Linked DNA regions of Caenorhabditis elegans. The protein of the gene in region 1 interacts with the protein of each later gene in a pairwise test. Each region holds a gene or a part of one and is shown on either strand. Other genes may lie near its edges.

Region 1 (5,002 bases):
CGAAGTCGGACAACCTCGAATCGACTCCATCTTCTTCTAGCAGGTTCTTATTATTTAATTCAAACACTATTTGACAATCAATTGTTACTTTCAGAAATCTACTTTCTCCATTTGACGCAGAAAAACGCATGGAGCGAAGCTCACCATCGCAACAATTGTTCAGCCGAACTAAGAAAGATTCGTCCTCCGAAAAGCGACCGGCGTGGAAATTTTAATCACTAATATATGTTCTCAGTCCTTTTTAATTTGTCATTCGAACATTTTAATTACCTGTATATTTCTTGCGCTCTACAGATCATGGCATAATATCTTCACTTTTTGTAGAGCTGTGACGTTGGTCAGTGCTTGCAATGAATGATTTATTAATTGATTAATAACTTCAGATTTTAAATATAAAATGGTTCCACAGGAAGAATAAAACTAAAAATTGACAAAGTTTAGGCAAGATGGTGAAGATATTAAAAATATTCAAAGAATGAAAGAAGTTTGAGGAATAATCAATGTAGAATGCGTAGTAATAAGTGTACCCTGTTTGATATGAAAATTTAATTCACCGTAGAGTGATTTAGTAGTCATCTCGAATTACATGGTAAATGCGAATTTTCGAGATGAGACAACATGAGAGGCAAATTCCAAGCATCTGAAAATAAATATTTAAAACAGTTTTTTTTTTGGATATTGGGATGTATTTCTCGGAAAGGTATGAATTTTTTAATTTGTTTTTTTGGCTATCATTTTACAATTTATACATGTAAGAACTTCTATATCTAGTGAAACATGTGATTTTTTTTCAAATGCCGAAACAAATGTCTGACCCTCCCTTACCATGGTCAGTGCAGAACCGAATCCAAATCCTACGAATATCCAAATTTGCTCGTTGAACCACGACATTAGTCTTTCACTACACCCCTGAAAACTCATTTCTTTAGAAATAAATTAAAAACTTTAATATTAGCACAACAATCACACCAGCAAGAAAACATAATACACACTCACAACAGTGTTTACAGATGTGTCAAATGCCGTGGTAAGGTAGCGATATGTTGTGCACATCGGGTCAATGGGAACCGGTGCCCATGCTCTTCCAACTTGAGCTTGCTTGCAACAACTTGGCGGGACAAACGATCGAGTTCCACGCAACGTGTTAGTAATGTACCAGAACGAATCCTTGTAGTCCAGGGGACCTTCTCCCCCGCAACATTGGTGCTAAATCTCTTTCATTTCACAAAAATTGAAGAACAATTTTATCAAATTGATGAATGTGACACCATCGTCTTGTCTTCCTTGGCCTCTTTGTCACACCTTTACACTCAATCACTCTTAGCTCAAATCACTTCACTCATTAGTCGGGATCTTTGAACGCCCGGGGAGGCATTACATCAAAACGAAACTTCAATGGGGCGCACTTTGCACTCAACAGGGGATCCTTACCACTGCGTGTCTCCATTGTCTATTGGCACCAATTTGCTGGCAGCGAGCATAACTTTTAGCGAGCGGGTTTAATGCCGATGCGCCCGTTATTTGTGTACAACATGAGACCGGAAACAGAGGGGACTCGATCTCTTCCGAGTCTTGATTTGTCGATTGAGACCATCGGCTGCTGATATAGTCGGTGGGACCCAGCGAGCCACAACATTTTTCCTAATTTGAGAGTTTTATTCAGTTCGAAAAAATTTGGAGCTTACATAAAATTGAAGTTTGTCAATGAATTCAGTGACCATCTTATTTTCAGGTTCGCTAGTCATCACTCCATATTTGGATTTTACGATTTCGCGCACATTTTCTTTTACCGAATACACCTTAAAGATTGATAATTCAATAATTCAATAATTCAATTCAAAATTTACGATGACAAGAAGACAAGGAGACGCTGGCACTTTTGAAATTTTAAAATCTACCATAAACAAAATACTCACATAAAATTGAATAGTATCCATCAACGGCAGAACCCAACGATCTCGTGAGTAACGGTTGTATGTTAGGTTCTTCAGATACACTCCCATGTAATTGTTAGAAAACTGCAAAAGTAACATGCGTTGAAAATTAACAGGTTTAGACAAAAACCGTAATTTAAAGGAATTGTTCGTAGAGAATGTTCTTTTAAATGATAAAAAATCTGCAGTTTAAAAAAAACTGAATAAACATTAAATTATCGACTTTTAGAGCAATTTAAGAAACTAAATGAAATCCAATTGGGGTTAATTAACTTTTTCACGGAAAAGTGTCTGAAAATTTGAGGAACAACGTTTGCGCTGGAATTCAAATACAATTCAGCCATTTGAATTTTTGCAAAATTGGAAAATCATAATGTTGTTTTAATTTATGATTCTTCAACTGCTATATTTGGTTATTGCGTCCTTTTTTGAAGCAAATTTCAAGAGACAACAATTTGGAAAAAAAGTGAATTTGAAAATCTCAATTCAGTTTTTTTTTTCTTCTCAATTGTATCTAATGTCTCGTACAACACACATTTTTCAATTAAAACATTTTTAAACTAGAAGTTATGCAAACGATAGGTTTTCACATACACACATATATCAGCAACGGCAAGAATTCGAATTTTCATGAATAATTTTAATTCTCGAACACAAAAAAGGACATATATCAACTTACTTTATCCTTATAGAAAAGTGATAGAGTTCCCATTGCAACATCAGCCAAAAATGTGCCAATTAAAAACATGACGAACTGAAAATTAATTAAAAGTTACTTTTTTAAAAATTTCAAACTTACAGCTAACAGTAAGAATCTGCTCCTGTTAACTGCTCCACACAGGCCAAGAAATCCAACAAGAAGCTGAGCGCATCCACAAACCAATGAGACATATGCGGATGCCTTCTGCAAAAATAATACGTTTCAAAAATTTTTTGACGATTTACAAGAAATAGTCATTATTTAAACAGTTCTAAACTCAAAAAAAAAAATTAAAAATAAAATAGCTTACTCAATTCAAAAAATGTTTTATTCATTTCATTTTATCTGTAAAGTACACCTGTTTTCTTTTGTAGGAATTTTGTGTAAAAAGTTATTTTCTAATTTTCAAAAACTATAGTGCTAAAATTTTGCTGAAATTAAATTTTTGTGGCTGGAAATTTTTATGGCAAGAATTGGAAATTATTCAACTCTAAATCAACTCTAAAAAGATTAAACTCTAAATATCTACAAAATTTATGAAAAACACGTACCAATAACGGATCATTTTCCGAAAAGTGTACCAAATCCAAGATGTAGTTTCGTTTCGGGTCGAGAAGCATCCATAGTCCAAGAAACACGTGACCGAGAGCAGAAAGCTGAAAGAAAGTTAAAAAATTACTTAACATGTTCAGGCACAAACCCAATAGTATATTGAGAAAATTGAAACAGCTACCCGAAGGCAGCCACCGCCATCACGTTCTGTTGCCATGCACTGCCTGAAATTATTTTTCAGTAAAATGTAAGGTTAAAAAAGAATAAGAAATTACGCTTCAAAAGAACAAAAAGGTGTTAAATATCAGAATATTCAAAAAATGCATCTAACTGTCCCAGAGAAAATAGTAAGAGATACGAGACGTGAAAAGAAAGTAAACATAAGCAGGAAAATCTGAAGAACCAAAATTATGACATTCTACATATAGAATAATGCATTTTGTTAAATTTTTAGCAAGAAAGCGCCATAAATAATTCATTTTCTCCTCAGGTGCAAAAATAAGATTTGAGTATTTTAGAATTTCGTTAGTGAATGAAGCGATCAAACTTTAAACTTTCCGGAAGAAGCAAGATAACTCGGCGGCCACACGCAGCGATTAAAGAATCTATTTGCCGTTTGAAACTCTGGCGGACCGCGTTGCCAACTGATAAATTGAAATCACAGCTGACCATTCAACGAGCCACGCAGCACACGCAAACGAGTAGACCGGAGAGAAAGAGGAAGAGACAGGAGAGCATTTACCTGGCAAACAAATTCTTGACCTCATACTATGCATCATCTCTTCGTTGTGAACAAATAAAGTCGAACGGTGGAATACTGCATTGGCACTAGCCGACAATGTTAAGCGATGGGCAAGGACTCCTGAAAAATGCTACAAGTTATAAAAAATTTGAAATTTAAGCAGAAGTTGGTCTCCTGAAAAAAATAAGTGAAAATTGATAACAAAACAGTATTCAGAATTGGTGAAAAACTGTGCCCTTTCTGAATTCATGCTCACCGGTAGGCATTATTTGGACTAAATTTGGTACATTTCCTTTTTTACCCCAGATTTTTCTGGAACATTTACTTTTAAAAATTTATGCTTAGCAATTTTGTTTTCTAAGCCTTAGAATGAAAATAGTATTAAAATGAACATTCACGTGAGCATAAAATTCGAATAATTCAATGGTTTGAATGTTCTTTTAAAATGCGGGGTAGAAAATGAAAAGTACCCTAAACTTAAATATTCAATTAATTTCGAAAGCCCTCGTGGACTATGAGACTATCATTTTGGAAATAAATTAAATTTCCATTCATTTGTCAAATTCGGTCTATTTCAATTGATCGTGTTTTGCTTTTTTTTTTTCCTTTTTTAAGGCTTAGAAATGGTTGTTTCCGCCTCATGCAAAATCACTTTACTTTTTCCATAATTTGCATTTTAAATATGTTCCAATAATACCCAAGACTAAAACTTTTGAAAATGTGTTTCCTGCTTTAATACAAACATATTTCTACAAAAAATCTGAGCTGGAAGTTTTTTGAGGTTTATGAGTCGCCTTTCCAAAATTCAAAGATTTATTTACAAATCTTCATACTGGTTTAATTACATTCTCGATGTTCGACTAAAACTTCTGTACAATTTTTTTTACTAAGATTATGTTTCAAAAATTTATGTTCCAAAAATGCACCAATGCTCTAATCCTTGACAAAAACTGAATTTCTGGAACCTCAATGATTCCCTAAAACGGTGACTAAAAATCTATAAAAAACCACAATATTATGAAGACTTTTCTTAAATTATCTGGTTTTTTTGCCTATTTTGATCACGTGTAATCT
Region 2 (7,761 bases), on another chromosome or scaffold:
GAATCTTTATTGAGCAAAATGCAAACTGCATTCAAAATATTAATAACAAAGAATGGAACCCAGCACACAAGAAATACTCCAACAACAACACCCAATGTCTTTGTGGCTCGTTTCTCTTTACGTTGTGCTTTTGAGACCTGGAAATTGTGTGTTTAAACCCCTTTTTCACTAAAAAGTTGGAATGTCTTTCTGAATAAAGTGAAATCCGCCTACCTTCCTCTTCAAACTATGCTCATGCTTGATAGCCCTCTTGACCAACTTGACAGCAATCCCATTTCGATTGCTTTTCTTTGAGCCTTTCGAGTCGACGGACCTTAAGCTATCGGCACGTGTTTTTGATGAGCATGTAGTGCCAATTGAATCCATTCGTTGGAGGTCAAGATCTGCAAAGTACGGAAGTGTTTCAAAAAACATTTTTTGATGTAATAAAAAAACATATTTTGATGTAAAAAAGAATTTCAAAAACTTACGTGGTAAACTGGGTCTTGTTAATATTTGAATGGCCAAGGGAGGATCAACTTGCGAAACACGTCGACTCGATTCAACACTGCATCCTTTTAAATTATTCAAAGCATTTCCTTCCATTTCTCTAACTGTTAATGCAAAACTAACAGTCGGTTGCATAAAACATCCTTCTCTTGTTTCAGCTAATACATCTTCTAAAACTGTTTCAGTAATCAACGCTGGAAACTTTTCAAAATCATCTGGTGATCCAAGTAGTTCTGCGCCTGAAAAACAAATAAATTTTCTTCAAAATTCTTTATAATTCTCACTATTTGCCGTCGTACTTCTGCTAATTGTCGTAGTGGGAAGATTTTCAATATCTCGTGATGCAGAAATAGTTTCAGTTTCAGTTTGTGAATTTGTTGGATGAATTGGCATTGATACTCGTCGGTATTCCTTTGGAGGTTCAGTTATTGGATTGGCTAATATCATCGAATGTTTTTTAATATCAGTCTTATCTCTTCGGAATAAACGGGGACTTTTTCTAGAGATTGTTCGAATAATTGCAGGAATCAATGCATCATCTGATTGATTTGTTCTGCAAACAGAATTTCATTAAATTTTCAAACAAACTCTATACTTACATTGATGCTGTTCTTGAATTATTTCTAGAATTGCCTCTATTCACTTTCACTACTTTTCTATGATGTTTTGTTGAATAGTTTCTTGACAAATTTCTAAATCTTTTTTGTCCTTTGATACTGTAACTTCGACCATCTCCGGATGAAGTTTGAGACGATGTTGGTTGGGAGTCGTCAGCATATGACGATCTTCTGAAAAAATTAATCAGTAAATATGGGAAGAAACATATGTTATACTTCAGTCAAAAATAATACATTTTCAGACAACAAAAGTTCAACAGCTATTGTGAAAAATAGGTTTAAAAGTTGAAAAACTAAACCACTTTCACTTCTCGTGTAATTATTCTCATGTATTTATTGCAAATTCGCTACTACGTAGTTTTTACCGTAATTTTGCAGTATTTTATGGTGTTTCCAAAAGCGCGTGGTTTTTTAGGGGTCGCCACAAGAAAGTTAGTTATTAAAAGTACTAATAACCCTGAAAAAAATTCGAAAAAAGATATTCTGGAATAAATTGCATTCTAGTGGCATATTTTCACATTTTTACAAAATTTTTACGAAAATAGTAGCAATCGATGCGCAATTTAGTGTCCATTTGAGACGAAATTTAAAATATTCGTAAAATTTTCAATGCATACCTTGAAAATGTGGTGCAATTCTCCGACACAAAATCATTTGTAATCACGTTGACATTTTCCGAAAGTGATTCAAGACTTGATCGTGGTGTCGAACTATTTCCAAATTCTCTTTCATCTGAAACCAAACTGTGTTGAATATTTTCAAGGAATACAATATATAAATCATGCTCAACGCAATTCCCAAATGCTCAAGCTGAGTTAACTTTCGTGCTAGTTTTCACTGCAAACATTTTTATTTTCCAAATAAATATCCATATTTCATTTTTTATCTATAATGAATCATGCAACTAACGTTCTGCAAGCTTGAGGTGATAGTGAGTGAGAAGCTGGAAAATGAAAGAACATAAGAAATCAGTGAAAGTGGTAGAAGCGTGTTGTGCAATAGTCTGTGCAGAAATGAGGAAACGGTGCTGTTGATAGTACATGTGAATATATGAATTCCGACATACTCAGGAGCATAGGAAGTGGTAGATCACCGGATGCCTTCGGTATTGCAGAAGTAGTAGTAGTTGTACGAGCACACGAAGAAGAAGACGGAGAGGTGGTGGAAATATTTTGGGCGAAGAAGGCAGGCATGCCGGACGCTGAAGCAACACTCTGCGCAGTCGAGTTTGCTGTTCCGACAGACGCTGCGTTTATGATCCTTCGGAGCATGGAAGTGGTACGAGGTGCCGATGCCTCAACGACGCCCTGTCCATTATCAGCATGATAATCATCATCATCGTCACCGGCATCGTCACCCCCACAACACTCATCCATAACGTCCAGCTCATCTTCCTCCCATTCTTCATCACCTGCGAGTTCAATTGCGCGACGATGTCGTTCGAATTGTCTCATCCGACGAGTCATTGATGGTAGAGCAGCCATCATGACATTCACCACTGGAAACGACGAAACACGTGTAGGGAAAGTATAATTTTAGAGGAAAGACTAGAACTTAAATTAGCTCGAGCTGATGTAGGATTGAAAAATGAACGACTTTCAACGGAAATTAAAAAATGTCTAGGGAATTTGGGAAAATCGTATCAAAACTGAGCTATATTAGGGGAAGGTATAAGTTTCCAAGTTGTGTGTCTCAAAACTTTTCAATTCGTCTTGTAGTTAATGTTGGAAATTGTGCATATGTGTTAAAGTTTTCATTCTAAACTGCTAAAATTTAAAAAATAGGTGGAAGGAGAGAAGTAAAATTGAAAAAAAAAGAACGTGAGAAAGACATTGAAATATAATATTTAAAGCTTTAATCTGAAACTAATAGAAAAGAAGAAAAATCACAGAAACTGTTTTCGCTGCTGCACAAAAAGCTACGATAAGATTACTGTAAGCAAAAAGGTTAAATCAGTAAATAAATTATGTTATACGACTCAAGAGAAAAATTCACTTCACTTCTCTATGAAATTTCTATGAATCTTAAAAAAGTATCAAAGCCTAGTCAATTTTTGTGCGCTCATCTGAATGCAATCTTACAAAAACTTGAAAACTAACCTGGTCCAGCAACAATACGCCCTGCAGCTTCTTCGTCAACTTGCTCTTCGCCTGTATCAGGCCTCATTCTGTAATTTCAATATTTTCAAATATTGTAAACAAATAAATCTTACGTTAAACCGTGCGCAATTGTGTTCTTCTCTCTCCTCATTTTAGCTGCCTTTTCTCGTTTTTTTAGAGCAATTATAATTCGAATATAGACGAAAAGTACTGAAACGGGGAAGCTATTTTAATAAACCATTTTTGGCTTTTCAATTTACCTAGAAAACAAGGAATAACAAACGAGATCATAGAACTGAGGATCGAAAACTCAGCATTGTAGAATCGACACTCGTATGGGTTAGCATCTGGTGGACGAACGTTTACTCCTTCAATTCAGAAGAGTTTGATTTTTTTTAAAAGGATATATGTATGAAACTAACCAAAAACCATTGGACTGGCTAATGTTAGGCTGACCAACCATATAACAGCTATCAATGTCCATACCCGTTTCACATTTTGTGACTGTCTTGAATACTGAATTGGTAAAGAGACTGCACGGTATCTGAAATAATTGAACAGTTCAGTTTTTTGTAGAAAACTGTGCATTTTTATTTTAGCAAAATACTTAGATTTATGCTCTTAACATTTTTCCCACGATCTTTGCTGTTCCCCGTCATATTCTGAATGCAAAAAATGAGTACAAAGAAAAAATGGTTGGTTGAATAACAGCCACACGTTCATTTTCTATTCAGATGACTCGAAACTCCCGACTCACCGATCGAATGAAATTACGGCAAGAAGAAGAATAGAAGCTGTGCTACAGCACACATCAGATGCCATGTAAATGTCACACATTAGATTTCCTAGATACCAGTCGCCGTTGGTGACCTGCAAATTAGGGAAAATTAATGGACAGTTGAAAAAACGAATAACGTATATTCTTTACTTCTGTACACCATTGCTTTGACTACTTTCGGTTATCTTTTCTTTTATTAAAAATTGTCAAATGAATAAATCATTTTGAATTCTTTTTCTATAGTTTTGTAGAACAGTAATTTTTGATATCTTCAAAATAAACCGAGATATACCTTTCCAAAATGGAATAGTGCGATGCAGCACTAAAATAGAATATATGGTATTTTTAGTTTTTGTACTACAATAGTAATTATGGTGTTCATTTATACTGTCGATGGAAATTTCCCAACTGAAACACAATTTCAAAGTCTATTATTCAATTGCTTTTTTCTGCAGAATCTGATACGCATTACCCTAATTCTCCATTATTCTTCACTCCTGACGCTTTCTCTAATCTACCGGAAAAAAAGGAAAAGCCTTCGTGGTTGGAAGGATCTAGGAAGCAATAAATACGGCTTTCCGTGCATCTAATTTGACACTTTTCACACCACGTTCTTTCCCCTTTTCCACCCCACTGGGCTTCATTTCCACGTCACACACACACACGCACACGCTCCTTGTACCATCCATCATCATGCCCCTTTTTCTATTCTTTTTAAGTCAAGTCAGTTTGCAGAGTTCTGTTTCAACGGGAAAACCTACGGAACTTAACAAAGAAGTATCGTTTGGCACTCTGTCCATCAATAGAGTTATGTGATAGCTGTCAGGGGATTACATCAACCAGCTTCATGTCTTGTCTCTTCTCTTTGATGTTCTTTTCTTTTTCATTTTCAACGTGTTCTAGTACTATTTATAAATGCAACGAGACTTTCAACGTTTGCAACTAGTTAGCTAGTTACCAAAACTTATGACGTGGCAACCGTCAGAAAACAACCATAAATCTGTGTGAGCAAAGCTCGGGAGCTCTTGTGAGAGACACTCAACAAATTACTGCTCTTGGTCGCTGATGTCTCTTTTCTCGTTTTTTCTCAACCTCGGTTTCCCTTGTTAGGCAAAGAGAGAGAGAGAGAGGTGGAACAGCACGTCACTTCAGGAAAACGCAGATTGGGAGCCTATGCTGCTATGGAGAGCTGTTGCTGTGGTTGCCAACAAAAGACATATAATTGATCACTTACATATACATAAACCGCGTATGGCATAACTATGATGGCCACCAAAAGATCCGCCACAGCCAGGCCTAGGATAAGGAAATTGATGGCTGATTGCAGTGCTCGGTACCGGAGTACTGATATTATTACCTGAAAAGAAAATATACTTTTTTATTATTATTTTGGAACGTGCTTTGGAGTTTGAAATTGAACCAAATGTACAATAAATGTGAGGAACTGAGTTTCACACGAACATCTATAAGACATTGCTCCAGAATCGCAAGGAATCGTTCTTTGTTCACAAATTTTGAATAATATTTTGATACCGTTTCGAAGATAATTTAAGAAGTATCTTGGCATATTGATTTTAAATGTCAGACGAACTGAGGCACAAAAGAACTCGTTGTTTGATGTTTCGATTTTTTGAAAAAAAAAAAGTTTTCTGATTTCTCCCTAATTTCTGGGTTTTGAGACAAAATTTTTTTTTCTTCTTTGATAATTTTAGACTATCAAGATACATTTCTTATTTTTCAAGATTTCATTCTTATCAAAAACATCAACAAGTAGTTTTATCTGTAACATTACACAGTTGTATATATTTTTTAACTGACAATTGAACTCTAACTAACCAGAAGGTTTCCAAGTAGCGTGATGAGTGGAATAACAATAAGAGAAAGTCCAGCGTAGTTCAAAGGAATTCCACTTCCGACTATCGTTGATGGTGTTTGTGTGATTGTTGAAAGATCAAGAGAGGGTGGAGGCCATTCAAGGGAGACATTCCATGTCTCTCCGGCCTCCATTTTTTGGAGTTGGATCACCTTAAAACAGTTTTTTATTACATTTTTTAAGCCAACAAGACGGTTTGAAGAAGGTAAAAACAAAGGTGTTCCAAGGATTAATGCTAAAATGTAAAGAACAAAAATTTTCAAGTGTTTTTTTGCTGTAAGTAGTTCTACAAATGGTCCTACTTTCTGAAACGTAATAGATTTTAGTTTCTCAGAATGTTTTAAAACTAAAAAAGGCACGGAACACTTCAAAAATGGAATTGAATTTTGAAGTTTTTTAGACTCGATAACAGAAAGAATCTGAAGAGTTAGAAAAATATAATTTGCTTGGAAAGTTCTAAGTGTTTCGCTCAAAGTTTGAAATTCTTTACCAATGCTCAGATGACTGTCAACGTAATGTATTTGATACATCAATACTAAACATTGAAAAACATCATTATTCTCTCTTAAAGTAAAATCTTTAAAAATATTTAAAATTTCTAACACAAAGCACACATTAAGCTTACTCTTAATCCTAAATCAGTGATCAACAAATAATAAAATTAAGTTGGGAAGTCACACAAAATGTGAAATTTAGCTACGAAAAAAAGTTGTCATTGTGGAAATTACAAAAGTTGTACATAGACTTTCAGCACATTAACCAACACGAACAATTGTATTTCTGTCATGAATATTTTGGAAGACCTTCAAACATTTAAAAAAAAATAGTTTTTGAGGTTATTGCAGCCCAAAAATCACCAATAAGAAAAAAAAATTAAAAGTGCAGGTCTGGCAATGATGGGGTTCATGTCTCCAAATCTATCAAGAAAGAGAAGAAATCCAGGAGGCACGTCTCTGGTAGCCCAGATGATTTCTTTCACATCAATTGAATATTCAATTTTTGAATCTCGGGGGGTAAGGGTCCAACGATGAGTTGTCTTTTGAAAATAGGCAAGGAAGTAAAGAGCAAAGTGCGAGATGTCTAATGACAAAAATAAGGAATAAAGTTAAGGTCATTGAATGTTTTTCTTCTGTCAAGACTGAACAATAGTTTATTTGTGAACTATTAAAAGTGGCCCTAGACTGAGCAGAAACCTTCAGAAGCCAGTTGAATTTTAGACGGAAGGAAAGTATGAATATCTTTTCCACATCTCTTCTTTACTAAATAAAGAAAAAACGAAGAGTAAAGGGGCGGAGAAAATGCGGTCCCCAAGACATAAACGAACTTTGAGATGGGCGGAGGACAGGCGTAGAGATGTAGAAGTAGCAGAAGAAGAAGCCTTGGGGTGGAGTTGACACAAAAAAATGCACATAAATTGCGAGCCGTTCCTCCTGTTTTGGCTATTTTTCTAAATTGGGTGTTACTTTTTCGGACCTCTAGTGTAAAAAAGCAAGATCAAATTTATATGAAAACAGAAAAAAGCCAAAGTGTAAAGGTTTTTTTTTTAATCTAGTGCACGGATCAAACAAAAATATGGGGTTTCTTGAAAGAAATGTTAGAAACATCGAAAACACTTTAAAAACTGAAATTTGTTTCATACAACCGTGAGTTAACAAGTTAATGAAACCTACGTCAATGCTTAGATAGTTCTCATAAAAATTTTGACAATTAGGCAACGAAGCTGTATAGTTGGAAGTAACTAGAGAATACTAATAGGGAGCTAAACTAATTTAACTCTAAATTAGTAACCACAAAGTTGTATCGGAGATTTTTGTCTATGGTCAGGAAGCTTATTCAATCTACGAAATTATATACAAAACTGTATGTTTCAAAATGAAATGTATTCTTTCCAGTTGACAAGTATTT

Evidence for each region.
Region 2: the proteins of tsp-17 (region 1) and dop-2 interact in a two-hybrid assay, tested with the Caenorhabditis elegans proteins (one study listed by BioGRID).

Annotation. Positions count from the first base shown.
Region 1 is NC_003284.9:3,679,578-3,684,579, reverse strand, and holds tsp-17 (Tetraspanin-17), read right to left. Parts: upstream 3,404-5,002; coding exon 3,335-3,403; intron 3,291-3,334; coding exon 3,186-3,290; intron 2,839-3,185; coding exon 2,734-2,838; intron 2,689-2,733; coding exon 2,614-2,688; intron 2,019-2,613; coding exon 1,917-2,018; intron 1,800-1,916; coding exon 1,686-1,799; intron 1,642-1,685; coding exon 1,432-1,641; intron 1,207-1,431; coding exon of another isoform or gene 997-1,206; intron 910-996; coding exon 826-909; intron 641-825; coding exon 566-640; downstream 1-565. Other genes in the region: Putative protein tag-278, read left to right, coding at 1-43, 95-215. UniProt on the Caenorhabditis elegans protein: Protects dopaminergic neurons against oxidative stress-induced neurodegeneration. May act partly via dopamine receptor dop-2 to negatively regulate dopamine reuptake transporter dat-1 activity.
Region 2 is NC_003283.11:9,606,809-9,614,569, reverse strand, and holds the start of dop-2 (Dopamine receptor 2), read right to left. Parts: upstream 6,015-7,761; 5' UTR 5,991-6,014; coding exon 5,820-5,990; intron 5,341-5,819; coding exon 5,218-5,340; intron 5,164-5,217; exon of another isoform or gene 4,955-5,163; intron 4,076-4,954; coding exon 3,963-4,075; intron 3,750-3,962; coding exon 3,628-3,749; intron 3,574-3,627; coding exon 3,466-3,573; intron 3,416-3,465; coding exon 3,319-3,415; intron 3,274-3,318; coding exon 3,206-3,273; intron 2,605-3,205; coding exon 2,173-2,604; intron 1,839-2,172; coding exon 1,724-1,838; intron 1,278-1,723; coding exon 1,089-1,277; intron 1,043-1,088; coding exon 774-1,042; intron 729-773; coding exon 471-728; intron 384-470; coding exon 214-383; intron 138-213; coding exon 1-137. UniProt on the Caenorhabditis elegans protein: G-protein coupled receptor which binds to the neurotransmitter dopamine with high affinity leading to the activation of an associated G-protein and downstream signaling pathways.